Lonchura striata: one gene and its partner. The protein of the gene in region 1 purifies or fractionates together with the protein of each later gene. This does not show direct contact. Links are inferred from orthologs where the notes say so. Each region holds a gene or a part of one and is shown on either strand. Other genes may lie near its edges.

Evidence for each region.
Region 2: the proteins of NELFB (region 1) and NELFA purify together in Homo sapiens (affinity purification with mass spectrometry; 8 studies listed by BioGRID and IntAct, counting the BioPlex papers as one, with this or other methods). This does not show direct contact. The link is inferred for Lonchura striata from reciprocal best matches to the Homo sapiens genes NELFB and NELFA.

What each region holds. Positions count from the first base shown.
Region 1 is NC_134624.1:4,219,472-4,235,691, reverse strand, and holds the start of NELFB (negative elongation factor B), read left to right. Parts: upstream 1-9,953; 5' UTR 9,954-10,091; coding exon 10,092-10,193; intron 10,194-10,328; coding exon 10,329-10,492; intron 10,493-10,659; coding exon 10,660-10,759; intron 10,760-11,980; coding exon 11,981-12,211; intron 12,212-13,151; coding exon 13,152-13,337; intron 13,338-14,332; coding exon 14,333-14,445; intron 14,446-15,205; coding exon 15,206-15,308; intron 15,309-16,220. Other genes in the region: ectonucleoside triphosphate diphosphohydrolase 2-like, read right to left, coding at 1,306-1,533, 2,911-3,070, 3,829-3,979, 5,477-5,594, 7,605-7,718. UniProt on the Homo sapiens protein: Essential component of the NELF complex, a complex that negatively regulates the elongation of transcription by RNA polymerase II.
Region 2 is NC_134606.1:8,446,307-8,462,260, reverse strand, and holds the start of NELFA (negative elongation factor A), read left to right. Parts: upstream 1-9,513; 5' UTR 9,514-9,801; coding exon 9,802-10,053; intron 10,054-15,954. UniProt on the Homo sapiens protein: Essential component of the NELF complex, a complex that negatively regulates the elongation of transcription by RNA polymerase II.

The DNA of each region.
Region 1 (16,220 bases):
AGCAAGAGAGGACATTGGTGTCCCAGGGCTTCACACAGGAAGAGAGAATGTAACATGGTTAGAAACAGCTTTCCCCAGGCACCACAGTGCTGAGATGGAGCAGGGAGGCTGTGAAAGCTTTGCTAAATCTTATGTCATCAAGTCAACCACGAGGCCCAGCCACGTCCCAGCTCCTGCTGAGCTCAGGGCCAGTGCAGTGACTGGACCTGCTGAGAGGTGATGAGTCCCAGCCCTACCATCCCCCCTCAGAGCACAAATACAATTTTGTGCATCCTGTGCTCTTTCTAGTTGAAAAAACGAAGCTGTTCTGATCTGCCTTCAAGATGGTTCAACCTCACAAGAATCAGTGTTTCTTATCTCCAGCAATTTAGCACTATAACTGTGGTGAAGTTGGTGTTCAATGTGCAACATTCAGGTCTCAAATAAGGGCAAGTGGGGTTTATAGGGAGGAAAGTGAATGGGTAGGGAGCAATTAATTCCTGAAAAACACAGTTTTGATGAGAACTATGGCGATTCTTGAACTTACACCATCATATGCCACTCTTTTCTTCCCCCCCATCCATTCCCCAAGTGAAATAAAGTTTGGAAGAACCAAAACACTGGCATGTTTTCAAAATAAAATATTGCTCTGTTAAAGTCAGCAAAGGAAATACCCCAAATGGAAGATCCCAGTTGGTTTCTGGGTGCTCCCATTCTTGGATGGAGGAGCAGTTCCTAGGAACTGCCAAGGCAAGGCTTGCCTCTCCTCACCCTGAAGGTGATGTTGACACCTCTGAAGAGCAATTTTTTGCTTGTGTGTATTAAGTAGGAACCAAATAGAACCTGTAAGCAGGAAACCTTTGAATTGGTGCTTGTGTGTCTGCTTGGAGGGAAAGTTTTACAAATGCACTGGGTTTTTCTAATGTATGCAAACAGCCTCTACTGAGGAGGGATTGACTTTAAACTGATCGACACTTTGCCCATTACCACACCTTGTGCAGCTGCCATTTGGTGGTGTTGTGCCCCTGAGCAGACACTCACCTGGATGAGCACAGAGACTCACCTGGATGAGCACAGAGGCTGACCTGGATGAGAGCAGAGGCTCACCTGGATGAGAGCAGAGGCTCACCTGGATGAGCACCCAGAGCAGAGGCTCACCTGGATGAGCACAGAGACTCACCTGGATGAGCACAGAGACTCACCTGGATGAGAGCAGAGGCTCACCTGGATGAGCACAGAGGCTCACCTGGATGAGCACCCAGAGCAGAGGCTCACCTGGATGAGCACAGAGGCTCACCTGGATGAGCACCCAGAGCAGAGACTCACCTGGATGAGCACCCAGAGCAGCCTGCGGCGGAGCTGCTCCGTGCCGTGGCAGGGGCACTGGCGGGTGTGCACCCTGTGTGTCTGCCCATAGAGCTGCAGCCTCACTCCCTCCTCTGGGGCCTGCTTCTCTTCTTCCAGCTCAGCAGTGAGCTGTGCTGAGGTTCCTCCCACGGACAGGACTCCTGCCATCCCCTTCTTGGAGGGGACCAACTGTCCTTGCCAGTCATACTGACCCAAAAAGAACGAGAGAGGTCAATCCTTGAGACTTCTCCATCTCAGTCACAGCCAAATGCCAGCATTAGTGCACAGAGAGAGAAAGCAGCTTGAAAGTGCCCATAGCCCAACACTTTTTTGACCACATAAGGATGCTGAACCAGTGGCTTCAGAGGGAACAGAGGAGCCAGTGTACAGCCACTGTCACCTGCACAGAGCAGCCTGTGGGGGCAAACAGGTCTGTCCAGCCTGGATGGCTGCACTAGGCAGTGCTCTCAGCAGGCAGGAGAAGGGGACAGTGGTGAGGGTGGTGAGGAGTGGCAGCGACATTTCCAAGAGGGCAGATACGGGTTTCAAGTGCTGCCTTGATGCTAAAGTGATCCTTCTGTCAGAAACCTGTGGCATCATCTCCTGCAGTCCTGCAGAACTCACTTTGGCAATGCTGAAGTTCACAGGACAGGCAGGAGAGTTTACATGGGGTAAACACTTTGAGCTGGCTGGAGGAGGTCTGAATCTGAACACTCTGAACCTACTGTCAACAGGTCTGACAATTCCCTAACCAGTGTGTGCTTGCTGCTGGCTATCAGAACTGCTTTTCACATCCCTGATGAAGAATAACTCAGTCTGACCCACCTTTCTCTTGCCCTCTGAGTTCTTAGGCTTAAGAAGTGATGGGTGAAACAAGAAAACTGAAATTATTTTCTTTTTGTTTAACAAGTGCCTTCTAAATACAGAACAGGTCTCCCTGCTGTCTCACTGAGAGTGGCTTTTGGTTTGGCAGCAACAGAATCTGCTTCTCTACCACCCACAAGACTCCCAATGGGACAGCTGGACTCCAGTGGCAATCCCACAGCACTCCACAAACAGCAGAAACTCCTGTTTGATGCCCCATGGCCAGGCTATGTAAGGTCATCTACATGAGCATCCTGGATGTGCTGGCCAAAAAGTCTCACGTCTGTTAGGGCAACTGCATGGATGTGTTCATGGAAGGCCAGAGCAGAGATTGGGTTCTTCAGCCTAGTTATGACCATGGAATCCAATAATGGTTTGGGTTGGGAGGGATATTAAAGCTCACCTCATTCCAACCCCCTGCCATGGGCAGGGACACCTTCCACTGTCCCAGGCTGCTCCAAGCCTCATCCAACCTGGCCTTGGACACTTCCAGGGATGGGGGGATGGGGCAGCCACAGCTGCTCTGGGCACCCTGTGCCACATCACCTCAACCAGCTGGTGCTGGATCTAAGCTGCCTCCTCTGAAAGGCAGTGGAAGTTGTACTGAAGCATTGTTTTAAGTACAGGGGTTTGCCCATCCCACCACTTGTCTCTGTGGCTGTCTGTTAACAGGAGCTGCTCAGCCCAGCTCTGTGTGCCCCAGGGAGAATCATCCTTTACCTTGAAGAAGTTCTCCAGGACATAGTTAACAGCAACCCAATTGAATGCTTCTTCCTCTGGGCTGGACAGGATTTGTGCTCCTTGAAAGCTGAAGGGGGATGACTTCAGGGTGCCAGTCAGAGCTGCAAGGAGACTGTCAGAGAGGATGGGATGGGTGAGGCTAAACACAAAAGAAAAACAAGGTACATTTGATGTTACAGGACCCTGCCAGGAGCTGCCTGCAGTGAGGACACACTGCAGGGCTTCTGCTGTGCTCCCTACTTTGGGTAGTAGCCCAGAGACACAGTGACAATCCCACTCCTGCTTCCCTCTCTCCTCGCATGGCACTGGAGGCAAGAACAGCAGAGGGCTGGTTTGAACAACTGTGCCACTGTTTAAGAATTTAGGACCTTAGTACCCTCTGTCACTGAGGAAATCCTCTGGTCCTATCCCACTGGCCTGGTCCTCTCCTGACCTTAATTTTCCCCAGTGTCTAAAAGGAGATAAAGGTCCCAGTAATGTGGTGACTGAGAAGAAGGTCCACAAGACTGTGTGATAATGTGAACCTTCCCACCACCATTTCCAATTTGCTGACAAGAAGCACTCCTGCAAGCCCATGTGGGCTGTCACACAAACTGAAACCACTTCAGCTTCCAGACTGATGGGTGTTTTCCCAGGCACTAATTGTGAAAGTGTAATAGTGAAGGAGACACTGTCAACCTGGCAGCAGTTGCAGGACTGTCATCTTCATGGCTGCCTGAGGCAACACATGGAGACACAGCCATGCCATGCTCCTCTCTTCAGGGCCTGAGGAAGGTTTAGCTGGCTAGCAGATTAGGGATGGCTCACACTGCAGAGCAGACAGGGTGAGATGCCTGTTACAGAATGATGCCTTGATGTGTGCTGGTCTCTGGGTGTGGGTTTGAAACATTCACTCACTTCAGCTGCCTCATGCTGGCGGTGGCTCCCAAGTACAGGGGGGTTTGGCTGTGCTGCTCTGCTGGGATCTCGTTCTGGGCCCAGTTCAAACATGGCTCCAAGCTCTTCCCAGCTTTCTGAGGAGAATCTGAGTAGCTGGAGATTCCTGGACCTGAGGACCATGGAACAGAATGGAATTTTAAGGGAAGTTATGGGAGAACTGTGAGAGCTGTTACCCCAGAGATTGCTATCCATGGGTAAGACAGAACCTGTCACAGGTGGGATGAAGGAGGTCTTCCAGGTATCCATCCTGCTAAAATATGGAACTGAGACCAAAACGTGCATAGAAATCCCAAATTACATTAAGACTACCTTTGCTCTGCAGATGAGACATCTCTACCAGCCACATGACTGCTGCAGCAGCTGAGGCTGTCTCAGCCCACAGAGGAAGAAATGTGGCTTTAGTTGCTATAGAAATAAGCAAAGGACACACAGAGGCTGATGTATCACCTCTGTCCTCCAGCCATCGAGCCCCCTGCCCTAGAGGAAGCCAGTGCTCTGCAGAGGGAAGCTGTGTGCCAGCCTTGACTCATTTTTCCAGCAGTCAGTGGAGTCTTAAATGTTGGTTTTGAACTACTACCCAGGAAGAGTCTCCCTTTGCTGTTCTCCTGATTCCCTCACCACGTGCTTTGCTCTCTGTGGCTGTGCTGCCATGCAGACAGGGCCCCTCAAACTGGGGCTTGAGACCTGCCTGGGCCTCTTGTGCTGCTGCTGGCAGCAAACTGCCTCACAGAGCTGCTGCTTAACCCAGCTGCTGAACGAGGGACATGTACAAGGTTTCAGGGAGCCCTTCTTGCATCTTCTCTGTGTGATTTCAGTTGTTTACAGCCTGCAAGGGCACAAACCCTGTTCCCTGCTTGCTGTGCAGCTGCCCTCCCACAGCACGTTGCTGCTGAGGGCTCAGTCCTTCCCAGCATCCCACTATAACCAGGCTTTAACATCAAAGCAAGATTAGGAGATAGGGAAGGAAAACCCCATGTATTAATGCATGAAACCCTCTCAGCTGGCATTGGCAGGGCCAAACTGATTCAAATTAATGAGGAAAACCGCCAAATTCTCTGAAATGGGAACACCTAAAGGCAAGCTGAACTCATTTTGTGCTGTCAGATGCGATATAGGGAATTGGAGTTTTGCAGCTCTCTTGTCCTGGAGCTACCCCACTTACTGCCCAGGGCACAGTCAGGAGGAGGCCAGGAGTCCTCCTCTTCTCCACAGTCAGGAGAAGATACTAGGAGTCATCCTGCAGTCAGATTTGTCTCCATTGCTGTTCACTGCCTCTCCTGGGTGAGAAGCTCCAGCAACCTTGGCTCTATCACTGATCCATGTGCACATCAAGACAAGCCACATCCTCTCTGCATGTTTCCCTGCCTGCAGCAGCCCCAAAATCCTGACACCTGCTACTGCCAAGGGCCTGATGTGCAACTGTGTGTGGCTAAATCCACCCAGTCGAGAAGAGTTATGCTGAAAATAAGCAACTTGTGCTTTACTATTTCTGTGCACAGCTGGGGGAGCCAAGGAATTTATGGCACTGGTCCATGCACAGGTCTCTGTTTTTCCATCCATCCCATGCCAGTTGCATGGACCATTGAGCAGGAAATGGGCACCTTACCTTGCACAGGGCAGGAGCTGCATCCTCTGATCACCCCGGTCTTGTTTGCCTTGGTGGTTGTCCACTGGTAGATGAACAGGATGGTGCGGGATGGGCCAGCATCCAGAACAATGCCATACTGGAAGAACCCCAGAACATTCTACTGAAAAACACTAGTGAATGCATGCTGACTGATTCTGTAGGGTTACCAAGCATATATAGGTATTCTGGGTCTGCACTGCAGTGCTTGAGTTTGCTTGTGACATTCAAAGAGCAGGTGAAGCCAGAACATGATGAGGATTTGCAGGGAACCATCTGCGTTTCTGAATATATATGAGGAACAGCAGGAGTGAAGAAACGCCCAGAAATACATCAGCCCTACAGTGGCATGCACTGGAGCTGCTCCTGAAACCAGGCAGAGGGCTTCCCCTGAGAGCTGAGCCACCTGGAGCTCAGGAAAAACAGGTCCTAAAGCAGTGGGAGATGGCACTGTTCTCCACTGATTCTGGGACTCAAACTGCTGCTGGTTGGTTTGCTCAGGCTTTTGTGCAGGAATTGGAGGGCTGCAGCTGACTTTTCCCAGGAAACCCAGGACTCCTGTGTCTCTTTGATGTCCCACTGCAGTGAGGGTGTGACACAGGCTTAGGTTTGTGTGCAGAGCTGTAGGAGCTGCAGCAACCAGCACAGACGCTGTTCAACACAGCAGCCCCTCAGAGACAGAGATGATGTCTTGGCAGGAAGAGCAGCAGCAGTAGACATGATCAGCTCACCCCTTGTCCCCGGGCAGCTCTGCTATTGCCCAAACCAAGGGCTCTCTGTCTCCTTGTCCCCAGTGTTTGTTTGCTGCTGACCAAGCCTTGCTGCTTCCAGAATATGAAGGAGAGCAAGGGGAGGCCACTGGACTACCCTGCAGCACAGGTCTGGCTGTCCCCACACCCAAAATAGCTCCAGAGCTAACCTAGGGCTCCTCTGCTCCTCTTACATGACCCCAGTTTGGGACATCTCCTACACAGACAGGAAGAAAACTCATGAGCTGCATGCTAGTGCGTGGTCAAAGCTGGATCTCACACACAAATAGAGCTGTGACTGAGTGGGAGGAGAAACCTCCTGAGAGGTTGATGTTAATGCCACCAGAAGGGTTTCAGCACCAGCCAGAGCTGGCTGCAGGCTCTGAGTGAGGCTGGCTGCCTGCTGCCCTCCTGGAGCTCCCAGTTGCACCAGTCCTGGCAGCCAGGCCAGGGGCTGGTGGGGCTGGGCTGGAGCAGCAATGCGGAAGGAGGCTGGAGCTCCCTGCCCCAGCCTGCTGGCACCCTCCCACACCAGTGACAGCTCGGATTTCTAGCAGGGACATGTTGGCTGCTGCAGAAGAGGAAGAAAGGAATGGCATTGGTGGAGAAACGTGGAATTTTTTTTCTCCTTCAGAAAATTAGAGGCTGCTGCTGAGAGCCCAAGGGAGAAGGGGAGGGATCACCACATTTATGCCCAGCTCAACACCAGGAAAGGACAGAACAAGGAGCAATAAGAGGGGTTTTAACTGAGTTTTGTTTCTGAGAGGAACATGGAGGAGGGGTGCTATTTCTAAACACCCAGGATAGCCTCCTTCTGTTGGGTGGAACCACGGTGTGCCACTGAGCTCACCTCAGCAATGGGAGCATCAAGAGACAGAGCAGGTGAGCATTAACCCCCCAAGACCTGACCCAGCTGTGAGGAGCACACCAGCTCTTTGACTGAAATCAAGACAGGACCAAAGAGAAGAAGGCATGAAAGACAATTTGTTTTTAAGACAGAAGCAGCAGTTCAGGGGCACATTCCTACTGACTTTTGAGAGGGACCTAGCTCTTTCCCTGCACTGACACCACTGGTTCCTTGTTGCTCTGGGGCAGCTCCTGACATGGGCTGCCTCCCCTCAGCCTGCCCTGAGCATCTCCACTGATCCATGGACCATATCCAGCCCGCATTCCATGACCAATCAAAGGAGGGGGCTTGTTTCTGGTTTGAAAACCTACAGCATGTTGAAAGACGCCAACCTGTCCTGACAGTCTTGTTTCAGTTCCCTCCTCGGTTTGTAAGTAGCTCAATAATAAAATTATGTCAAAAGCAACAAAACAGCCCAGCTTAGCTGCCTGTCTCCCCCCTGGAGAGCCCTTACCTTGGTCCTGAGTGGGGCCACGGGCACATCTTTGGTGGAGACACAGAGCAGCACGATGCCCGTCAGCCCCGCTACGATCACCAGCCAGGGGGGAAGCAGCTCTCGCCAAGACATGAAGAGTGTTCTCCTTTCACCAAAGAGGAAGCAGTGGAGCAGCAAACCGGCTGCTTTAATAACCTTTAAAAAGAGCAGAAAGGCGTGGCCAGGGCCCGGCTCTGACTTCAGCCCAGCCCCAAGCCACAGGGACCACAGGGACGCGTGGGCCTGGCTGTGATGTGTCAGGGAGCTCTGCTTTCCCTTCCATCCCTGCTGCCCATAAATAACAGGAGGGCTCTGTGCCCATCCCTGTGCGAGCTGTGCAGCAGCACCGCTGCAACCTCGAAACTGCCCCAGGCAGCGGGGTTGAGGTAAACACAAATGTGGGGTTAACTCAGCAGAAGGCAGGCAAAACTCATCCCTTTGGTATTCCACATCTGGCAGCGTGAGCTTTCAAATTAGAAGCTGGGGAAACTGCTTGTTATTGGATTTACTTTGTTTCTGAGGGCATGAGCCTCTCTGACAGCCTCCCTGTGGAAAACAACCAAGGCTCAGGCTTCTTGAAACACACGCCTGCTTTCTCCTGACAGTGCCACAAAGTCTCATCCCTGCAAATGGAAATTCAGAAGAAAACTCCATGGCTGCTTGCACTGAGGCATTTGGCTGATTGCTCATGTCCACAGACTGGTCATAGATCTGAAGGTGAAACCAGGAATAGGGAAAGGCCACATCTCTGTTTTTGGTGGTTTCCTCTTTTCATTGCTGTCTGCCCATGAGGAAGCCTCAGACACCCCCAGGAACTTGGAAGTGACCCATGTAATAAATAAAAAGGTTTAAAAAGGAAAAAAGGACTATTAAAAAAAAGTCAAAGTGGGAGGGCGTGCACCATGATAGAGAAGAGACTCCCCAGCTGCCCAGCGCTGCCTTTTGCTTAATACCACTTGCTTAATAAATTCTTGTTAATTAATTTATCTATAATTAGCCTCCCCAATTGAATTTGTCCATAACAACCCACAAGGATCGAGTCCAACCCTTAGCCTTGCATAGGACACTCCCAAGAGTCCCACCATGTGGAAGCTCCTGGAGCAGGGCCTGTGGAGAGCTGCAAAGTTGGCCAAGGCTCTGGAACATTTCCCTTGTGAGGAGAGGCTGAGGGAGCTGGGTCTGTTCAGCCTGGAGAAGAGACAGCCCAGAGGGGACCTCATCAGTGTGTATGGGTATCTAAAGGGGGGTGTCCGAGCATGGACCAGACTCTGCTGGTGCCCAGCAGTGGACAAGAGGCAGCAGCTGACACCCAGGAAGCTCCACCTGAACATGGGGAAGAATTTCTTTGCTGTGGGGGTGACCAAGCTCTGAACAGGCAGCCCAGAGAGGGAGTGGAGTCTCCCTCACTGGAGATATTCCAGAACCGTCTGGTTATGTGTAGTAAACATAATTAGCGCCATTCCTTGTATGAAATGTGTAATATTGGATACTTGTTAGATTCTGCTCGTTTGTATTAGGCCCCCCACCCTCGCAGGTGAGACTGGGTGTATATTAGAAACTGATTTACAAGTAAAAAGATGTGGCTTGGCCAGGAGATGGGGATGGGCCATGTCTAGAGAGATTTGGGGACCCCAGGTGCTGATCATGGCGTGAACGACCCGGGATGGATCTCATGGAAATCCTCCGGCAGATCCATGGGAATGCAGCGTTCCCGTAAACTTCATCAAGGGATTCACCAACTCCTGGCACTGAATTGTTCTTCATCCCCAAAAAAGAAAATCTCATTAACCTATGGGCTCTGAATGGAAGAAAAGACTGATTGCTGAACTCTTGGCCTCAGGTGGAATTTTCCCTATAAAAACCGCTTGTGCCAGGCTGGAGGTGTGTGGGCACAGAGGAAAACCTCTGCTGGGGCTGACTCCTTGTGGCACACCCAGGGCTGACCCCGGGCTCGGCTCTGTTCTTTCCTTGTGGCTGGCTAGATAGAATTTGATTGCAAAATAAATATTTTATATTTCATTTTAATTTGGCTGGACAAATTTTCATTTATAACAGTCTGAACACAATCCTGCGCCGTGTGCTCTGGGATGACCCTGCTTGGAAAGGAAGGTGGGGCTAGATGACCGTCTATGATCCCTTCCAGCCCGAACCATTCCGTGATCGCATGTGCTGTCCAAAGGCTCCCTGAGCCCCATGCGCCCTGCCTGGCGCTCAGCCGAGCCGCACCGAGCTCCTCGGGCCGCGGGGAGCCCGGGGCAGCCGCCGCGGAACCTTGGTGCGGCGGAACCTCCGTGCTGCGGCGCGGGGCCCGCCCGCGGGGCGGCTTGGGGCGGACCGCGCGGAGCCGGGGCGGGAGCTGAGGCGGGACCGGGAACCGGATCGGCACCGGGATCGGGATCGGGAATAGGGCCGGGAACAGGGCCGGGAACGGCACCTGGAGCGGCCCCCGCGCCCGGCCGGGCCGACATGTACGCGGGGCTGCAGGAGCTGGGAGTGGCCAACGGCGAGGACCTCAAGGAGACCCTGACGAACTGCACGGAGCCGCTGAAGGCCATCGAGCAGTTCCAGGTGCGCTGGGGCCGTGTGGGGCCGGGCCGTGCGGGACAGCGAGCACGGGACGGCCCCCAGCGCCCTCTGGGCTTTTCCTGGCTGTATTTGTAATCCCGAGTGCCGTTGTCATTCCCTCGGCGGGTTGTGTTGCAGACGGAGAACGGGGTGCTGCTGCCCTCGCTGCAGTATGCCCTGCCCTTCCTGGACCTTCACGGCACCCCCCGGCTCGAGTTCCACCAGTCCGTGTTCGATGAGCTGCGGGAGAAGCTGCTGGAGAGAGTCTCTGCCATCGCTTTGGAGGGGAAGGTCGAGGAGAGGTTTGTCAGCAGCCTCCTGGGAGTTCTGTGTGAAAATACAGTGGGTGGGTGACTTCTCTAAAGGAGAGTTGGGCTCTTCAGGGTCCGAGTTCCAGTGGCTTTGAGGTGGCCACTTCGTTCCTTTACTGCTGCGTGGTACCTAGTCTCATGTTTTCCCATGATTTCAGATACAAGAAGCTGGAAGATCTCCTAGAGAAGAGCTTTTCCCTGGTCAAGATGCCCTCGATACAGCCCGTGGTCATGTGTGTCATGAAGCACTTGCCCAAGGTGGGACCACTGCACTGGTTGGCCTGGTGTGATGTGGTATGTCACTGGTGTGACATCTCTGGTGTGACATCTCTGGTGTGACATCTCTGGTGTGACGTCTCTGCTGTGCCTCTGGCAGGGAGGCTCTGCTCCCTCTGCTCCTTCTGCAAGTGTGTTTTTCAGTGTCAAGAACTGACTGAGGATTCAACACATTCTTGTATCTGCTAATAGCTCAGTGGACTAATTCAAAAAGCCTTTCACATTTTCATTATCAGACGAGACTATTTCCCTATTTTCTTCAATCCATGCAGCTTCCTAAAAAGTCAAGTTTGCTGATAGGTGAATTTTTCCACAACTGTTTTGCAAATCTTTGACAAGTGGAAGGTAAGGCTTGAAAAGTGCAATTAAAAGTAGGCAGGAGGGAGAATCAGGTCTGTGAAACAAAAATCCTTACTAAAAGCATCATGTTGCACTCAATGTAATGGACTCAAAACACTGCTGGAACTTCAGTAAATTACTGAGCTTGGAAACATCACCTCAAATCTCAGCACTGGAGATTTAAAGTAGACCTTTTTTCTTCTTTGAAAGAATCAAGGGTGTGTGATTTGGGTGTTGAAGTCTCTTAGGGCTGGTCTACTGCTACACCAGGTGGGTGAATGCCCAGACTGCCTGAGGTGGGGATCACGGCATGGAGAGGATTGCCTCACCTTGAGTCCTGGGGCTGTTTGGGCACAAGATGAAAAAACATCTAAAGCTGTTGGAAAATGTTAAAAGGATGGTGCAGGGTGTGGAGGGGCCCGTGAGGAGCAGCTGAGGGCACTGGGATGGTTCAGCTGGGGCAGGCTGAGGGCAGAGCTCCCCGGGGCTGCAGCTCCTCCTGGGGCAGCTCCAGCTCTGCCCTGGGACAGGGACAGGAGCCAGGGCACGGCTGGAGCTGGGCCAGGGCAGCTCAGGCTGGAGAGCAGGAAAGGTTCTTCCCCCAGAGGTGCTGGCACTGCCCAGGCTGCCCAGGGAATGGGCACGGCCCCGAGGCTGCCAGAGCTCCAGGAGCCTTTGGCCAGCGCTGCCAGGGATGCCCAGGGTGGGATTTTGGGGGTCTGGGCAGGGACAGGGGCTGGGCTGGATAATCCTTGTGGGTCCCTCCCAGCTCAGGAGGTTCTCTGATTCCATGATTTAGATGGTTACATGGACAGGCAGGGAGGTGAGGTGCTGCTCACTCTGTACCTGCTCTGTGGATTGCAGGTCCCTGAGAAGAAGCTGAAGCTGGTGATGGCTGATAAGGACCTGTACAAGGCCTGTGCTGTGGAGGTGAAGAGGCAGATCTGGCAGGACAACCAGGCTCTCTTTGGGGATGAGGTGTCACCCTTGCTGAAGCAATACATCCTGGAGAAGGAGAACATTCTCTTCAGCAATGATATTTCCTTCTTGCAAAATTTCTTCAGTCCATCTCCCAAAACGAGACGTCAAGGAGAGGTAAGGACAAGGAAACCCTCACAATGTGCTGGTGAGGGGAATTACCAGCTTTCAGTCAACCATCACATAAATAACCTGAGCTGTTTTTTTCTGCCCATCTTCACTGCTGCAGTTGTTTAGCTGAACAAACTCTTTGCAGGAAGCACCAGGCCATTTTCTCCTGCACATTTTGATAAAAGCAGGAGGAATTATTTTAATTGTTGTGTAATAAATGATGAATGTTCTAAGTTGTTTATACACTTCAAAAAAAGAAAGGGCAGATTTTTTCTCTGGTGGTCAGTCTGGTTTTAATACACTTCAGCTGTTCTGAAGGCTGAACATCTCTTACCACATCAGTTTGATTATGCTGATATGTTAAATTCGCTTTCTTAGGACTTTTTTTAGTAGATGTATTTCAACTGAAGTTGCTTTTTTTAAAAAAAAACTATGTAGAAAGTTGTAGTTAATTGGCATCCGGAAAAGTTGAATTAAATTAAGGCAGTATAGTTTTAATTTCAGAGAGCACAGCACATCTGTTACATGAGGGTTTGTTTTAGGCTTGTTTTGCTTTCAGAATCATTTGGTGTAAATGCCCTTGTGCAATTTACTCCAGGTTTGCACTGCAGAGTTGTGCTTTAACCCCAGCTGGACATTCAGCACCACACCTCCACTTGGTCACTCTCCTTGAGGGGATGGGGGGAGAATCAGAAGGGTAGAAGAAAGAATCTGTGGGTTGGGACAAAACCAGGTTATGGCAGCTTTTGGTTTTTGAAGATCTGGTGAACATCTCTTGAACAAATGCTCTTGGAAATCTTGGGGTAAACAGTTCCTTTTCAGGACCTCATGTCCCTGCAGATGCTTCAGTCTCGGTAAATCAGATAACATAATTAATTGACATTTGTGTGTGTGTAGAATGAGAGCCTCTCTTGGTGCTGAGCCCACGTGTTCCCTCTGAGCTCAGGTGGTGCAGAAGCTGACGCAGATGATCGGGAAGAACGTGAAGCTCTACGACATGGTGCTGCAGTTCCTCAGGACCCTGTTCCTGCGCACCAGGAACGTCCATTACTGCACGCTGAGGGCAGAGCTCCTGATGTCACTGCATGACCTGGAGATCAGTGACATCTGCACTGTTGATCCCTGTCACAAGGTACCAATCACATGGGACAGACAGGGGTATTTATGGACAATTTTCTGCAAAAAGCCCAGAGAAGATGAATCCTTTCTGTAAAGAGATTTCAGACCTTAAACCTAAATGTCATCTTACACTCCTTGAACTTTTGGGTGAAAACTTCATCTTGGTTAACCAGCAGTTTGCTTTTATCTCATAACCCATGAATCGTTCAAGCTTAGGGTACTTTGGCAGTGTTAAAAGCAATGTCTAATCTGACATCTATTCTATGTAGATGCTGCAGAAATAATAAAAAACACCAGCTGGCCCCAGGTTCTTACTCCAGGCTCCCCTCCCAGTTTTGGATATGCTCCATCTGTCAGTAAACTGTGTGTAACAGTAAATACTTTGGATATTGAATTATAAGAAAACATGAAACTATTCAAATATTAGGAATTACAGATGTGGTAATGTCACAGCAGGATCTTGTTACTGGCCCCTTGTTCATGATAGCATCACTCTGACCTGGAACAAGGCCTTTTCTCTGAGGTAGTTGTTAAGTTTTACATGTATTCTGCTTAAAAAATAGTTCAGTAATACAGCTCTAAAGCAGGGACCCCTCCACTGTCAATATTCCTTTATTTAGAGTGTGGGAGTGCTATTCCAATTACCAAAATAAACCACATTTTTATTTCTAAGTGATGCTGCTTCTTTCTCAGTCCCCTACTTGTATAAATCCACAGGTGTGCAGGACGGTGGTGGATTTAATAACTGCTTCTTAATTGCCAGGGAATGCCTTCCCTGGAAGTGGAGAAAGCGACCCCAGGTTAACTTCCCTGGGCATTCCTAACCTCCTTTTGGGATGTTTGCCTTTCTGGCCTCTGTTAGTCACCAGTGTGGTACTGTGCCCAGGTGCATTAATGAAGCACCTCAATTGGAGATATTTTGAGGTCATTCTGAGCCTGTTTTCTCTGACAGCATGTGTTTTATTGCTGGTTTAATGAGTTCCTAAAGCTCCCTCCATCTGCTGACAGTTCACCTGGTGCCTTGACGCCTGCATTCGGGAGAAGTTCGTGGACAACAAGAGAGCTCGGGAATTGCAAGGATTCCTGGATGGGGTGAAGAAAGGACAAGAACAAGTGTTGGGGTAAGGCACTTGGGCTGCTAATTGGGAAACTGAAAATGGCTTCCTAGCATTCACAACACCTGACAGATGCTGTAGATGTTAATTCTTCCCTAAAGCCAGCCAAACATCCAGCAGCCCCTCTGTGCAGTCACATCCAAACATCCCTCAGTGTGCTGGGGCACAGCCAAGCACATCCTGGTGGTCTCCCCTGTGGCCTCATAACAAAATTCAGGAGCCTTTCTTAAAGAGTCAGAATAACTTATTACTAATGACTTGTCTGGCTTTAAACCCAGAGAAAATGGGCTGGTGATGTTTGTCAGTTAAAATGCTTCATTAGCTTCAAATGACAATCCTGCTGTGATCTGGTACACTTATTCTGGAAGGTTGTCTCACAGTATTTTATTTAGCTGGTACTTTTAAGATTTTGTCCATTGGTATTTTAAGCTACTCAAGAATTCATTTTTACTTGTTGTTTTTCAAAAACCTCTGGGACCTTTTGGTCAAAACCTGCCAGCTCGAAGAGCTGGGCCCACCAGAGCCTCACTATCTGTGGGCTGTCTCCCAGTGGACCTTCAGCTGGCTGTGGGAGATTTTGTGCTTGATCTCAGTGCAGAAGACTTTGAGCAATTGTTATTTGTGTTCTTTCACATCAAAACCACCATGAATGTTACTTCTTTACAAGGCAGGACAAAGTTTATGAGGTGCACACAGCTGGGTTTGGACCTGTACAATGGGGTTGTTGGTTATGTATGACAAGTGTTTGGTTTTTACTTCTTCTCAGGGACTTATCAATGATCCTGTGTGATCCCTTTGCCATTAACACCTTAGCCTTGAGCACCATAAGGCACCTGCAAGACCTGGTTGGGCAGGACACCTTACCCAGGGTAAGTATTGCAGCTTGTGTAGCTAACCTGAATTATTCTCTAGGCTGACTGACAGCCATCAGGGAAGGAATGGCACCATCCAAGTCTCATTAAGTTCCCAAATGTGGCAGTTGAAACAAGGGAAACATGATTCCTGTCCATTTGCAGCACCTGCTGCAGAGCTCTGCAGGAGCTCTTTGGACATGGTGGGCATTTTGGAACTCTGCAAACGTTGCATGGCTCATTCTGCCTGGCAGCTGTGCAAATACAGAATAATATGTAGAATCTGTGCCTCCCTGCTTTGTCCCTCCATCAATTTGTCTGACAGCAGCACCTTTCTCCTGCCATGGTGAATGCCATGGGTTTGCTTGCACAGTTCTGGTCTGGTGGCTGAGATAAAACACAGTTCCTGCAAGTGGAGTCTGCAGGAGGTGCTGAAAGGTTAAAGAAGGGCACCCTGACAGGTGCCTGAACAATGGGAGCCACTTGCTGTTTTATCCCTGAGTTGTTAAATGTTCTTGTTGCATGGAGCAACTTCCTTGTGACAGTTTAAGACTGAAAGTCATTTGGATTTCAGGACACAAACAATCTGTTCTTACACACCCTTTCTCCTCCTTTCTTCTGCTGAAATGACTTGGTTTGTCCTCTCACACATTATATTCTAGTGCACTAATTGGGCTGGACACATTTTAAAAAGATGTGCTCAGGTGGCTGCAGACTTCCTGGTGCATTATAAATTTACTACCCCCCACAAACCCTGAGGTGTGGCAGTTATTTGATGCCCATTTGAGGATCAGTTTTCAATTAACTTGAACTGAATGCCTTTAGCAGTCTTGGACAAAGCTGCTAATCCAGAACAGCTTTGAATATAAACCACTTCTTCCAAATAAATATCTCATGTGAAGATCAAAATAGCTGTTTTTCTTCTCCCCT
Region 2 (15,954 bases), on another chromosome or scaffold:
TGAATTACAGTGCTTAATCTCTCAGGGTGAGGGGCATCCCGTTATCTTTCACAGGTCAGGATCACATTAACCATCTGGACCAGTGATGGGAAACAGCAAGACATCCTTCCAGAGCTAAACGAGGCCTCCTTTTCCTACCAGCAAATTCCCCTAAGCCTCTTGGCAACCAGAATTCCTCCTCTCCACCTCAGCACTTGTCTTCCAAACACCTCATGAGCCGTTTTTAACCTATCTTTCAAATAAAGGGGTTTTTATATATTTAACCTACATGTGCACAGACACACACTGAAGCCACATCAGTGTAGAGGCAGAGGAATACCAGGACCATTGGGACTGCTAGAAAAATTTGCAGGAGTGGTCTTTTTTATCTTCTTTTTTTTTTTCTTTTTCTCCCTCTACCACTTTTCCATCGTGCTTAGGGAAGCATATCTAGCTTGTTGGCATAGAGCTGTCTTTAGCAACTCAGTGAACAGAATGGACCATGGTATGGAGATGAGTCAGGATTGTGTGATGCATCAGATCGTGTCCAGAGAATCCTGGCTTGTTTTTGCAGACAGTGAACACTACGATTGCAGGAGGAAAAAAGTGGTTCCAGGCTAAGGCATTTGTATGCAGCTCAGAAGGACTGGATTCTATTTTTATCCTTCTCACAGACTACTGAATTAGCCACTTAAAAACCCATTTTTCATGGCTGGACATGAACTGGGTACAGGGTTTTGCTGAAAGCCTAAATTCTAATCTTCTGCTTTTATGGCTAAAAATGTAGCCACAATGTAATGTAATTAATGCTGTAATGCTATTTTCTCCCTAATTTATGAGGATGTTATCAAAATACACTGAATTCCATTTGTGAAGCTCTCAGCTCCTACCCTCCTGTATATCACTGAAAAATGCATAACAAAACTGGTAACTCTGCTTTCACAGCAGAATTTGAACAGTAAGTAGTAAGGCATGGAGTCCCATATCAAGCTTCAAAAAGAGAACAAAATATTGAAGAATGGCTCATTAAGTGACTACTGTCCTCTCTGGCCACTAATGAGCTCCTGTCATTAATGACTGCCTTGCAATCAAATACAACAGAAGGCAAATCAAAGTTCTGAAAACAACACAAATCCTGGCAATTTTTTAACTGCAGAATGTTTGACTTCACAGCCTTAAAAGCTTTTATATTATTTTTGTCCCCCTATGACACAGTTCAGTGCCAGTGAATCTGTTGTATCTGACAACCAGATTGCTCCCTGTTTAGTGCCTCCCTACTATGCCTGACCTCCTAATGATGGTCTCCTAAGCAGGATTTGAAGTTACTTTAAAAAATAATATGAAAAATTTATATAATTACATTTTACAAAATATTTACTTTTTTTTTTTAATTACTAAGGATTTTAATTTTTCTCATTTTCTCTTTCCTCTTTCACTCTTCTCACTCCCCTCCTCCATCAGCTGGAAAAGCTAAGTCCATGATGTCACCTTGGAAAAGGGTGTTAAGAGCTTTAGATCAAAAACTCTTCTGTGTAAATGTCAATTCAATCCACTCCAGAACATTTTCCTGCAAGCTACATCACCCAACACTAAAAAACGGATTAACACACTAAACTGGATTGAAACATCCTCCTCATTAACACAACTGTAAATTGGGAAGAGCGCAACATTATTTTTATCTCCAGCTTTCTCCTCCTTGGTTTACCCAGTTTCTCTCTCTCTCTTTCAGAAGAGTTAAATTCCAGAGGGTGATGAGGCACTGGGAGAGGTTTTCCAGGGAATTTGGGGATGTTCTGTCCCTGGCAGCGTTCAAGGCCAGGCTGGATGGGGCTCTGATCACCCTGGTCTAGTGGAAGGCTGCCCATGGCAGTGGGTTGGAACAAGATGATCTGGAATGTCCCTTCCAACCCAAACCATTCTATCATCCTGTCATTCTTCAGTAAAAAACACCAATGAGATGCTGGAGAATCGAATTAAAGACCTGCCTCATCTAATTGTCTTACCTGGACCTAAGCACAGAATTTCCTCTACCCTGTTCCTTTGCTGCCTCTTTGTTAAACAGGGTAACACATGTACAAATCTCATAAAATGGTGAGAAGAATTTTTATCAGGGATTGAGTCTATACAATCCACTGGCAAGCAGAACCACACCAAAGGATACCAATAGTACATGTAAACTAAATTTACGCCATCTGAAGATCCCTGTAATGTGTTCATCAGGATGCCTCCTCAGTTACTAGAATACAAAAAAGTCTTGCTGAAATCATAACTTTTTCTAAAAAGAAAGAAAATTCTCAGCACATCATACTAATCTGAGTATCCATATAATGGATATGCAATATCAGTATGTTCTGAGAGTAGCAATGTCTCAATAATTCATGAACAACCACATACAAATATTCTAAGTCTGCCTCCAAAAGCTGCAATTTTGTTATTCTTTATTTCAGTTCTGGAGGAAATCCAGCCATGCTGAGAAAATCTGTGCTAGAAAAAAGAGTTTGGAAGGAGAGGTAATATGTTTTATTAGATGAAAACAGACCAAATACAAGGAGTGTAAGCCTGCAAGATTGTTTATTTTTCCAATTACATCTGATAAAATATGTTTTGCTATAAACATAACCTTTCTTACAGATTACAGAAGTATTACTTTAAAAGTAAAACACTTGCAAGAAACATTTGTACAATAAAGCAAATAAAGCTTAAAATAAATTACAAGTGAGAAAAGATTAAAAGATTTATAATTTACATTGTTCTCTACATACCTATTAAGTTGTGGCATAGGCTAGTAATCTTCCCCTGCTTATTTGGATTTTTCTCATAGCAATGAAAAGAGCAAAAATAAAACACTTTTAAGTGTTATTGCTAAAACAAAAATAGGTGGAGAGAATTCACTGGCATAAAAAACCTTGAAAGGCTTTCAGTTCATTTATCTTTAAGGGACTATAGTTCAAGTTCATAGTATCCCTTAAACTATGACAGATGTTTTGATTTCAGCCAGATTCCTCAGATACGTTTATCTTGTCATTTTATTGGACATGTCTGCATTTTTTTCCTTACTGTAATCTGTGTTTTTCAAAAAAGATTCCACTTGTCATAGCAGAGAACTAACACCAGAGATCTTAACTGTCAGGTACTAACTGGTATTTATGGCTTATTCAGACAAGCTGGAGAGCAGGGTGAAATTTTTACAATATTTTGATTAATGATTTGCATCAAATTTTGTGTGTATGAGAGATTCTTTGACTTTATGCTTGGAACTCAAGCAAATACCATCTTAAGGAATCTCTCTTTTAATTATTAGGGTAAGAAATACATCAGCAGTAGCTCTGGAAAGCTCACTGGGTCAGAAGCTACCATTAAAAGCAGGAAATTTTGTCTATGAGAGTTCACAACTTCTAAATTTGAGTACTTCTATCTTGTGTTGCTACCACTGTTGACCAGGATTCAGAGCAGGCAGAGATGGGCTGTGAAATCCAAGTTCTCCACTGACTCATATTGTTTCAGGCCCAGATACCTACATCTCCCAAATCATACCTGGAACATCCAGCTGTATCACACATGGAGTGTCTCAAACAGTGGAAAAGGTCATATGTAACACAATGCTGTATGGTTAAGACATAGATAAAGTAATTCCTATCCAGATATTTTAGTGTGTCCTTTCTGTGCTCCTGGGCTTTAAACTCCCTTCAAGTGCTCAGTGTGGGATCTATGACAAAAAAAAAAAAAAAAAAAAAAAAAAAAAACCTAACAAAGAAAAAGTTATATGGAAGTTATCTTCTTCTACCTCCCAGTTATCTTCTACTTTTATTTATACAATGACACAAAAAAAAGCCTTTTTTAAGAGAGCAAGGGCTGGGCAGCCAGTCTGTCAGATGGTTTGAAAACTGGCTTAAGGAATGGCTGACATGCAGCTAATGAAGAACAGTGTGTGTCAGATGATGACACAGAGGGCACCCTGAGCACATTTAGGGATGCCAAATTAAGGAGTGTTGACATGAGGACTGGCAGAACTTAACCCAGAAAGATCTTGATAAATTTGAGGACTAGGCCAAGAGACACCTCAGGCTTGATGGAAAACCCCAGGCATGAGGACAGGCAGGAAACTGGCTGAGCATCAGCCCAACAGAAGGACCAAGGGATCACGCTAATGTCAGGCTGAGCACAAGCCCATTTGGGCCAACAGTGCATTCTCACTGTAAATAATTCAAACTGCACCCTGGACTCCATCAAGAGATGTGGCAAGGAAAGTATTAAATATCATTAAAACAGATAAATGAGGAGCAAAGAAATTGTTACAGAGGCTGAAAAATTCTACTTTAATTCAAAATTCATCCACTTTGCAAAGAAAGAAGAGAAGAAGCTGTTCATAAAAACGGGTGTAGTCTAGCTGGGAAATTAGAAGGTAGCAATCCTTGCCAGAGCACCGAGTTTCTGAAATACTCTTCTGCCTTCAGCAGCAGGATAAAACAGTCAAGCCAGTTGCAACATGGAGTTTAATAGCTCATAAAAAGACTGATGTAATAACATGGCACATGACAGCAAGTGGTCACGTAGGACATCTCATCCAGTCCTACATTCCTGAATTCCACATGCATGAAGAGTGATAAAAAAATGAAATAAGATGAAGAATAGTTTCTGAAAGATAATAAAGAGGGAGAGAAAAAAGGAAATAAACTTATGGGTATTGGCAAACAAAGTCCCAGGGGGTTATGAAAAGGGAAGCATTCTTCCTTGAAAACTTCATGACTTCCTTGTGGAAGATCACAGCATTGTCTCAATGTGCCCTATGTCACAACCTGTAATACCCCTCATTTCAGCACAATTGCATTATGACAGCTACTGAAAGCATTATGCCTCCAGCAAAATAAGAATAGGATGCTTTACACATTCTATACCATGAGATGTCAAGTAACAGATGATCCAATGCAAGGCCTTTCTACCACTTGGCCATATCATCACAAGCAGAGACAATTTGAAGCACAGTGCATGGGCAAATATATGGATTTAAAACAACAAATTTATTTGTGTGCAACACTTTGTGTTTTAGGTCCTAGGGGTTTTTCAAAACCTCTAATGGTCTTTAATTTCACACATTGTTAGGTCTAATTAATGGTATTTGGACTGTTCACAGTGATGGTGTTCTTATTTATTAGAAGTAATTGAGAACTTAATTGAGCTCTGCATTCATAGTTTCATGTTTTAAATAACAATTTTAATTCTTCCTTTTGTTATATTAATCTATCTTAAATCTTACTAAAATCAAGAGTAAAAGAAAGACAATGGAAGAGGTGGCAGAGGCAACCAAACAGATGGGTGTTTCCTCAAGGATGGGACCTCTCAGGTAGGTGTCTCAGGTACAGAGACCTTAATGAAATTATTTTATCACTGCTGACCCTCAGTGTTCAGGCCCCATCAGCCACACATCAGAGCCCAGAGCAGGAGTGTACCAAGTTTAACTGCTCTAGAGCAAGACAGAAGGAAAAGTAGTCTTGATTTCAACCTCTTCCTCTTCATGGGCCTTTTTCATCATTGGCTTTAAGTCACTGCATCATTTTGAAGTTTATTTCAGAGGGAAAATAATCATAAAATCATGTGACTATATGTCTTGTGCTGCAAGAGGGTATGACAGCAATGTAAGCATAATCCTGGACACAGGCAGCTGGATGGAGCAGCATTGAAAAAAACATTGAAACAATTACTGCCCATCATGCCATGCCAATTCACACAACAAGAAGTACCAGGACATTTTTTGTAGCTTTTATCTTTATTTCTGCTGGAGGCTTTGCCTCCCAGAGAAAGGAGCTGACTGTGTCACAGCTAACAGAGGAGGTTCCCACAATGAAGCTTTGCCTTAGACTTGAGGAAGTCAGATAATCTGGTTTTATTTGAGTAAATTCTCAGCCCATGTGTTGTTTCAGATCACATTGCTACAGCAGTCTTAAAATGGGTCAAATAAAACTCCCACACAAAATGATGCACCCACACAATTGCATTAACCCATAATAAGCAGCATTTTACAAACTGAATTATAACTGTCTTTAAACTGATATTAAATACCATTTTATAAAATCATCTCCTGCTTAATAACAATTAACTGTGTACCTTAGACCCACTGAGAAACCTCTGTTGTCAGTTACCATAAAGGATATTAGACTTGTACTACTACCAGTTACTCCATTAGTGCCCCTGATACCTCTAAATGCTTAACCCCACAGTAAACTTATATGCCAGCCTGATATCAAAGGATAAAATTTATCTCCTTTTTCTGCTTTGAAAACATAGGAAACAGTGCTTTAAAAGCCTATTGAAAAGATGCGGTATTTAGAACTCAAGATACAAATATAAAAGTTCACAGAAAAGCTGTTATTCAGTCCTGATGGCAATGCTGGGGGAGCAGAAGGATAAATTATATGATAATACACAATCTACTGCTCTGTCTCCCTTCCTGGGCTGGCCCCTGTGAGCATGGCATGAATCACAGCCTAAAGCCCTGCTGGCTCAGACACTACCATACTTGCCATTGCAGGATGAGGTGCCAGTGGGAATGCAGTGCCACTGCTCATGCCAACGCCGTGTTTACTGCACATGCCTCAGCACTTCCTTAAAAACAGCAAAGCAGCTTCTTGTTCACTGAGAGATCAGAGCCAACACAAACTGAAAGCTCTGCCCATGAGTGTACCAGATGCTGTGCTGCTTTCCCTCGAGCCAGGAGAACTCCAGGCTCTACCCCTCAACATCCTGCTGGGTACAAGTAATGATGTTGAATCTGACACAGCACTCTGCTCTGGATAGCACAGGGCTAGATAGATAATATTTCAACAGGTAACAAGCTAAAACTGCAGGTTGGGAAATTCATGGAGCACTGGTTTTGGTGTGAGACAAAGCTTCACCTTTGTTAAAAGTATTATAAAGCAGATTCAAAGAAATTAACTCTTGCCTGTGCCTGGCTCTTTTTTCAATACTGTCATGACTGGGTGAGTGAATGACTCCAGGGTGTCCCCCTGGTCAATTTTGTGGCACACTCCACTCCCAACTTTTCTCAACAATTTCATATTCAACATCACCTCCTTTGAAATAGGGACCTGCAACTTACAGGAAAAAACATCTGCAGACAGTTATCTGTGCAATGCAACATCTTGAGGGATACAAAACATTCCAGAGAAATCAAGTACCCCTTTTCCAGCTCCAGAAATCCCTGAGGAATGAGCCTTTTTATATTTGGCATATCACTCTGAAAATCACTACCCAAGCTAAACAAAATTTAGGTTTAAAAAAAAAAAAAAAAAAAAAAAAAGCACTTAATTCCAACAGAAATTTAAGGTACAAGTAGCTGGCACAACAAAAGCTCTTACAGGAGGCTGGCACTTTGTCTTAATCTCCAGAGTGTCTGATACCTCTTCAGGTAAGAGCCAGAGGGACAAATCTGCAGGTGATAGGGCTGGAGCCAAACTGACCATGCAAATCCACACATCACAGAATAGGCTCCCTTCTCAAGTCACACTTCAGATAAAAGCACAAAAGTCATCACAGCAGCTCAGACTAGATGGCCATGTGGCTCAGTGCCTTAACACTGACAGTGTCTAAAAACAGATGCCTCGAGGAAAGCACAGGAACGGTGTGTGTGTAATAACCTTCCTTAGCTTCCATCAGCCTGCAGTTTGGCTCTCCTGAGAAAAGCAGCACCAAATCCCAGAATAACTTGAATAACTTTAGGGAATCAGAGCTACCCTTTCAAAGACAGCCAGTCCAGCCATCTGAACTGGTGGAGTTTGTGTCATCTCACAGAACCAGGTTAACTCTGTTACAGCCACTGCTTGAAGACAACCAGCTGTGCAAACATGTTCTGATTTACCTCCCCCAAAACAATTTTAAAAGGGGTTGGTTACTTTCTTGCACAATTAAAAGATGAGATAATCACTAGTTTTCCTTGCTTAATTAGATTTTTTATACTATCTCATGGATTTTACCCGATAGATAAGATTGTACCCAAGACTTACCAATACTGGTGCCTACCTTTAACAGCTATATGTAATTAATGGAGAGCAAAGGTTACTAGTGATAATTACATGTTGATTATATGACTAAGTGAATGCAATTCCTTTACAGCTACTTTTAAACCTTTTGCTTTAATTACTTTCCTGTTATATGAGGTTATATTCCTTTATATAAATATTCTGTAGCAAATTTAGTAATTTAGCTCAGCGTCTTAGATACAATGTTTTTTCTGTTCAAACCAACAGATACATAGGTATTTGTGGAGAAGTAATTCCCCCCCCAGCTACATAGTGAACTTACATATTGAGAAATCAACAGAAATTCTGGATATTTATGTGCTACACTGCCTCAGCTTTGATTTTGCTGTTCTAAAATATCAGCTCACTCCATACAAAAGTTCTGTCTTAAGTCAGATTTGAGTATAAATTGTTTGATGGTACAAAAAAAATGCATTATTAGGTATGGAAAAAGTCATAATGTACTAATATAGAATTTATTCACACAGAAACTCTTTGCCTCAAAATACTTCCACACTGACAGAAGTTATAGCACCCAAGAGCTGCAGTCACTCAGTAGCATGAACAAAAAAAGACTCCATGATGTACATTTAGATTGAATAGTAAGAAAAACATTTTCACTGAAAAGGTCGTTAAGCATTGGAAAGACTGCCCAGGGAAGCGGTAGAATCGCCATTCCTGGAAGTGTTCAAAAGTCTGGAGATGTGGCATTTGGTGACATGGTTTAGCGGTGGCCGGGTTGATGTTTGAATTCGGTGATCTTCGAGATCTTTTCCAACCTGAAGGATTATGTGATTCTATGAGAAAACATAGAGCACCTCGGCAACTATTGCTCTGTTCTCCCAGAGAAATCAGGTTGTAAACAATGTCTTTTAACGGCGGAATGTTGTAAAGAAAACGTTTTCATTCTAAAGCGTAGGAGAAAGATCAGCAGAATATGCTCCGCACTCTTGCAACTCCTGTACTTTAGTTTCAACCAGAGAAGCGCTAAAACGAACCGTTTATGCTGCACTTGAAAGCCCCCTGAATCTTCGGGGATTTAGGAAATTGATTCATTTTTTTCATATTTAAATAACAACGAGCCGAGTCGCTAGGGAATACGAATGCATGCGGTGCGGGTTTCTGCGCGCCTACCCCCGGCGCTGCAGCCACCGAGGGAAGCCCGCCATGGCTGCGGCACCCAGCACGCCAATCTCCGGGGAAACCATGGAGGAGATACTCGGCCCCTCCTCCGGGCTCCTCCGGGCGGGCAGGGCTGGCGGCTCTCTCGGAAGCCCTGGCTGAAAGCTTTTTAAGCGGGCATTAGCGCCGGGGAGCGGCGCTGGGCGGGAGCGCGGGCCGGCCGCCCCGCCGGGGCTCGGGGCTGTGAGGGAAGCAGACGTGGTGCTCCGGGGAGCGCTGCGCCGGGAGGCGCGGGGGCCAGCCCACCTCGGGCAGGAAGCCCTGCCTCCAACCCCGCCGCGGCTCGGCGGCCCGCAAGCGGTTCTCCTCCCATTTCTGCCCAGGAGGAGTCAGGGCGGACTGTGAGGGACAATGAGTTGGGGCTGACAGAGGAGCTTCTCTACAGTGAAGCGGCGCCATCTTGCTTTACGGACGGAAAGCTATGGCGGGCGCCATTTTGCATTTGGCCGAGAGATGAGACGCGCCTTATTGCATTCCGCCTCCTGGGCGCCGCCATTTTAGGTTACGGCATAGCCTCCGCCTTCCCAAGCGCAACCTCATTGGGCGCCGCCATTTTGGCTTACGAACAAGACGGCGACCCGCAGGGGTCCTCACCCCCTCCCTTCCTCCCTTTAGGTGCCTTCATAAAATGCCCGTCGAGAATCCCCTCTTTTTTCGCCCCGCTCCCAAGATGGCGTCGATGCGGGAGAGCGACACCGGCCTGTGGCTGCACAACAAACTGGGCTCCACGGACGAGCTGTGGGCGCCGCCGAGCATCGCCTCGCTGCTCACGGCCTCGGTCATCGACAACATCCGTCTCTGTTTCCACGGCCTTTCCTCGGCCGTCAAGCTCAAGCTGCTCCTGGGGATGCTGCACCTGCCCCGCCGGGCGGTGGATGAGGTGAGAGCCGGGGGGGAGTCGCAGCGAAGCGGGGCGCGCGTGTGTGTGAGGGGGAGAGGTCGGGGATGGCGTGAGGGGAGAAAGGGGGGCAGTGCCGGCACAAGTCCCCCGCCCGCCCTTTATTTTCCACACGGCGCTGCGGGGAGGGCGAGCCCCGGGCTGCCCGCGGGGCGAAGCCGAGCGGCCGCAGCCCCTCAGGGCAGGGGCGTGGGGTAGCGCTGGTCCCCACAGCCTTCCCCGCCGCTCCCTCGCAGCCTTCCTTGCAGGGGCAGGAGTAAGTGAAGAAGGTCTCCCGACTCGCTTCCTCGGTGCGAGGAAGAGCGCCGAGATTCCCCGCGATAAGGGAGTGAGTGGAGTGGGAGCTTTGCTGCTGCTCCTCCTCTTCCTGCTCTTCGGGGATTCCCTGGTTGGCACTAGGTTTTTGAAAGCAGTTTGGACATGAAACCCACTGTGCGACCCACAGGGACTCATTGTAGGGCTGTGTTTGGGGTGCCTTTAAGGGAAGAGGGCTTTTCTGAGGCAGTGGCTGTGCGGTGGCTGGGAGAGAGGCAGGATCGTGTAGGAGCAGTCGTGTATGTGTTCAGCTTCCTCCACTCCTTCCTTAGTACTGGCAGCTGTGCAGGTGTCACAGGTCGAGCATCTCGCTTCAGGGAGGACAGCAGCAAGTGCTGAAACTTTGGGAGTGGAAGATCTGGGGTCTGCACTGAGCAGTGCTTTTCCCCACCCTGCTGCAGTCAGGTCTTGATTGGGGAAAATTGCCATGCTTTTTGTTTCCCTCCCTTTACCTTTTTGGGAACAGTTGGTGCTTTCCTCTGTTGTCCTACCCCAGTTAATAAACTGGCTGGCTCGAATCTGAGCTGGCTCTGCAGGCTTTTCACTTGGCCCTGGACCATACCTCATCTGCACCTGGCTTATTCTTACCGGTAGGCAGCTGCAGATGTTTGGGGCAATAGCTGGAGAATGTCTGAAAATCTCAGGTTTCTTTAGCCGGATTGGAGGAATTCCTCTCCTGCTTCCATCATGTAAAGTAGTATTTCCTTGTGACGATCATGGAAGTGGTGTGGGGTTAGTTTTCACCTTCCTCTGTAGAGTATCCTCAGCTGTGCTTTCACCAGTCTCTTTCTTGGCTAAGATACAGCTGCTGCTTAAGCTTAATATACATGTATACCAGGCAGGGTGTAGTATGTAACTTGGATTGATGTGCGCTCAGTTTTTGTGCACTTCTAGGCTGAAAATGGGCAAGCATCACCTTCAATAAATAATTTAGTGTATGACAGTGTTTGTCTTGCCACATGTATCTGTATGATTCTTAACTGTGGTACACTGGTGTCACTTTAAAAAAAAAATCTAGTTCAGCATGTTTATGCTAATTTTTAAAATATGATAGTCATGTTTAGTGCCTGTCCAGTGAACAAGCTGTCATCCTTGTGGGTGATAAATGGGGTTGTGTTCTGGACAAACAAAATAATCAAGGCCAGAAAGGGGGATGGGAGCTCGTGTGAACTTGTGAGTTTGCAAAATTCTTGTGACCTTAGTGTGAACATCCAAGTAGCAAATTAGTATGGCAGTGTTTAGAAAAATCAGTGGTGTTTTTAGATTGAAAAGAGCTTCAAAGAGCTTAAGGACTTTCATAAATAGCACTCATGGCAACTCTTTGAGGGAGCAGCATTCAAACAAACAAACTGAAATAATTTGAGATGCTTCAAGAGTGTTCACTAGGTGAACGTTTTAAACCAAACCCGAGGAAGAGCTGCCTGCAGCTTTCCTGGATCTGTGATTGTGTTAGCCGTGGAGATGAAGTGTGTGTAGAGAAAAGCCAGTCAGTGTGCCTTTTACTGTGTACTTAAAGTGATCTGTTGTGTTCCAAATGTAAAGCTCTTGTTCCTGCTGTAAGAAAATACTGTGGGATTTTTCAGTTTGGTAGAGTTAATGAATTCAATCATAAGCTTAATCTTTTATTGTAAACTGATGATGATTGATTGAGATCTACCCTTAGCATCTTTAATTGTTTCAGGAACATGAGATTTTTTTGCCTTAAACTGGGTGAAGGGCCTTAAATAAAGGTTAAAATAGTAAAACTCCTGAGGCAGAAACCCTTAACATTGTTGGTAGGCCTGTTATTATTATTACAGGCTTCCTTCTATAGATGGTAAAAATAGCTGATGTAACCAAACTGCTGACAGAAAGGACTGTTGTCTTATCAGATGCTCATCATTTGTGGTTAGTTTGCTAAGATAGTTTTATTTGTGCAAATTTGTCACCTAACTTAGTATCAAAATATTCAGTGTTTTAATTGTCAGAGAGTACCTTGCACACAATATCCAGCAGATAGATAAATATGTCTGTGTCCAGAATGGCTGTGCTGTGCACATCTCTCTGCAGCAGCCTTTGCTTGTGTGTTGGAAGTCACCCCCATGTCTGAAAATGATTAAACTGAACTATGAGAGTGCTTAATTATTCTCTTTGGAAAGTCATATGTCTTTGCCATGCCATGTGCCTGTGTCTGTATCGATCGAGTGCGAGAAGCACCGAGCTGGCATTTGGAAGCCTAATTGTATTGGAAAATGTATTGCATCAGCTTTGTAGAGCTTTGGGAATCTCAATAGCAGCTACAGGATATGTTACCTGTTAAAAGATATTCCCCTCTCTAGATAACAGATTAAACTGAGTTATTTTCTCTTCAAAATAAATTATTTTCTGTTTTCTGTATAGAAGTATTTTCACGAAAGCTTAGAATAACGCGGAAACTATTTGGGAGCAGACATTTGAGTAAAACAATGTGGGAATCAAGGAAACTGGTGGTATTTGCTTTAAAAGGGATTTAATTGCTCCTGGTCCTTTCTAAATCTCTGTGAAAGCTTCAGTCTAGACAAGTGAATCTTCAGTGACCCCTCTTGAAAGCTCAGTTCTTCGCTTAAATAGTTTTATGCTCTTTCAATTTTCATAATGTTTTCATTCAACACTCCAAATACTATATAGATATAAGTGACTTAATCCTCATAATACTCTTGTGGGACAGGTAATAAAACTAATTTTTTATCATGCTGTGAACCTCATTGCTGCATGTTTGTTCCTGCTGACTAATAAGAATAATTGGCTTTCATTTTCATTTTAAATTGTGTCTTGTAGGCAGTTATCAAAAATTCCTTTCCCACTGTAATTCTCTGGGAAGGACTTGCAAACTCTTGAATCTTATGGCTTTTCATCTGCTAATATTTTTCTAGATAATTGCACTTATTTGAAATGATGCCTAAAGCTCAGTATAGTGCTGACCAGAGTTTCAGTTGTGAATTTGGCAGAACTGTTATTTCTGTTTATTTTGCATATTCTTGTTAACCTGATTCACAATGGCAAGTGCAAATTTTCTTTTTATGCCAGTGTTAATTTATTTGTTCAGGGTTAGACTGTGATGTTACAACCAAGTCTGGAACAAGGACTGTGCTTCTGTGCTCTCTGAATTGTCTTGAGAGGAGGATTCCTAGCCCAGCAGGGACTTGCCTGTTTATTACAGTAGAAATCAAAACTGTGTCTTTGTACTGTGCAAAGGAATAAGAGGGGACATGACACTTGCATTTCCCTCTGTCTTGAGAGCACACAGGCTGCTGTGCACCTTTCTGGCCTGCACTTAGGGTTCATAATTATTCTGTGATGTAAAATGGTATATTTTAATCCAATAGTTCCCTTGGCCACTTTAGCTCTTTTTCATTCTTTAAATGCATACAATAGTGTGGTGGTACCAACCTGTCATGGGTTTGTATTGTGTAAATATTAATACTGTGTTTTCAATCCAGTGCTTTTAGTTTCATGAAAATGCTCTATAATGAGCAGCTACCTATTAAATATCATCTTTTCTATAGCCTCAGAAAGATTAAAGCTTCATTTGGTTTATTAGCCAACTGTTGATACAGCTGTCTAAAAGTATTTTCATACACATTAACTTAGACAGAATACAAAACAAATAAATGTGAAATATTTGCAAATAATCATCTTGGAGCTGTCACATTGTGTGCTACTTGTAACACTTCCTTTTAAATACCTTCCCACAGTCCTGTTTGTCCTTCCTGCACAGCCATTATTAATCTGCCTGTGTCCCAGACACTTCCCATTCTGCCTGATCCCTATTTGCTAGATGTTTCTAGTCATGGCCTATGCTTTTCCTTGTGTGCTAGCAAGCTGATAAAATACTTAAGATCCTTAAGTTTTAGATGAGAAAGACGTTGGAACATGTTACGTCAGATCTTGACATTCATGCTTAACAAGATGCTGGTTGGAACTGATGAGAGTCTTAATGACCCAGTGTTGAAATCATAGGCAATTAAGAATTAGGGATTATGGCTGTGCCCTGTAAAGTAACAGGAAAACTGCATTTAGGATTCCCTGATGAGTTGCATTTTATGCATTCTCAAAGCATAAATAAAATGTTTATTTTCAGCTGCCAGTTGAACAGTGAAGTGGGGACATGTATTTAAATATCCATTTGAAGACAAACCCAAGTCAGAACTCGAATCCAGGCTTGTTAAATTCAAACCCATATTCAGGCAAGGTCTCTGGTTAGCTCATAGTACTTGTTAGTGTGCTTTGCTTCCCTGTGTGTGATAGTGACTGCTATTTCACCATGTTCTTTCTGTCATGAGGCCTTGTGATAATGTTATTTGCCCCATGCTAGGCAAACAAATTGTTTCTGGGCTGCTTTCTTGAAAGAACTAAAAGCTTGTTAAGCAGTGGGTTTGGGCATAAATAGGCTGCCTGAACTTTAACCCTGAGAGCAGAGGGGATGCAATGTGCCCACACCAGCGTTCCATAGGAACTTTCATAGTATAGGCATGTAGCTATGTGAATTTTTGGTACAAATAGGAGTTTTGTGAAGTAGATACGAAGGGTAAATTGTGAGGATGCAAGAGACATTTTTCCTCTAGCTATTGCCTGACTTTGCTTTGATGAAGGAAATGACTTTCTGTACATTTGCCTGCATTAGTGGTGTCCACAGAAAAGCTTGTAAAAGCTATGCATTCATCAGCTCTTCTGGGATGTTTTAGGTGTTTTTTGTAAATCAGTACCTTGATTCCTTTAGGATAGATAAAAGAACAAAAGACTTTGCTTTGATAGTGTTCATAGTCATCCTCATCCACTGCCTAAGTGACTTTTGTTAAGGAGTTCATGGTTAGAATAAAGAGGTGGATGAGTGTGTGGAGGTTGTGGTGGGGTTATGTTTATTGAGGAATAAATGAGCAATGGAGAATCAGCAAAGAGTAGAACCTCAGAAATTGATTCTTTCCACTGGGTAAGCATTGGTTAAATTTGACAGGACATTACACAGTGTGTGCTCCTGGTTATGTGCTCAGTTTAATCCAAAGCAAATCAATGGCACTGTGGGATGGGAACTGGCCCATGTAGTGTCCTATTTCTGCTCCTCTCTGTGGTTCTGGTGTTTGTGTGACTGCAGTCACTCACTCTAAGGAGCTGGTCAAGCTTAAAGCTACGGAGGTGCTCATTTTGGGTCAGATGGACTGATGCAGTTTGTTTCACAAGCACATAATGTGTGAGCCCTAAAACATGCAGGGGGTAAAGGACAAACTGACTTTGGAGTGGACTTGTAAACTCTTTCAAAGTGAGAGGGCAATAACATTGTGCAGATGAAAGGACTTGAGAAATGTCAATGTTTGTTTGCCTCTGAGCTTTAAAAGTGGATGGGAGAGGAATGGGGAGCAGAATTTTAATTTTTATTTCTTTTATTTAGAGTTGTATGCATAGAGTAAGTTTATTTTTTTAAACCTTTTCATGTAAGAGTGCTTAAAATAAATAAATAAAGGAAAAGAAACAGCATGAAGGTGAAGATGAGTCTCTTGCTTGTTTTCCTGTGCTCAGAAACATGACTGTAACTAAGCTATATGTGCCACAATG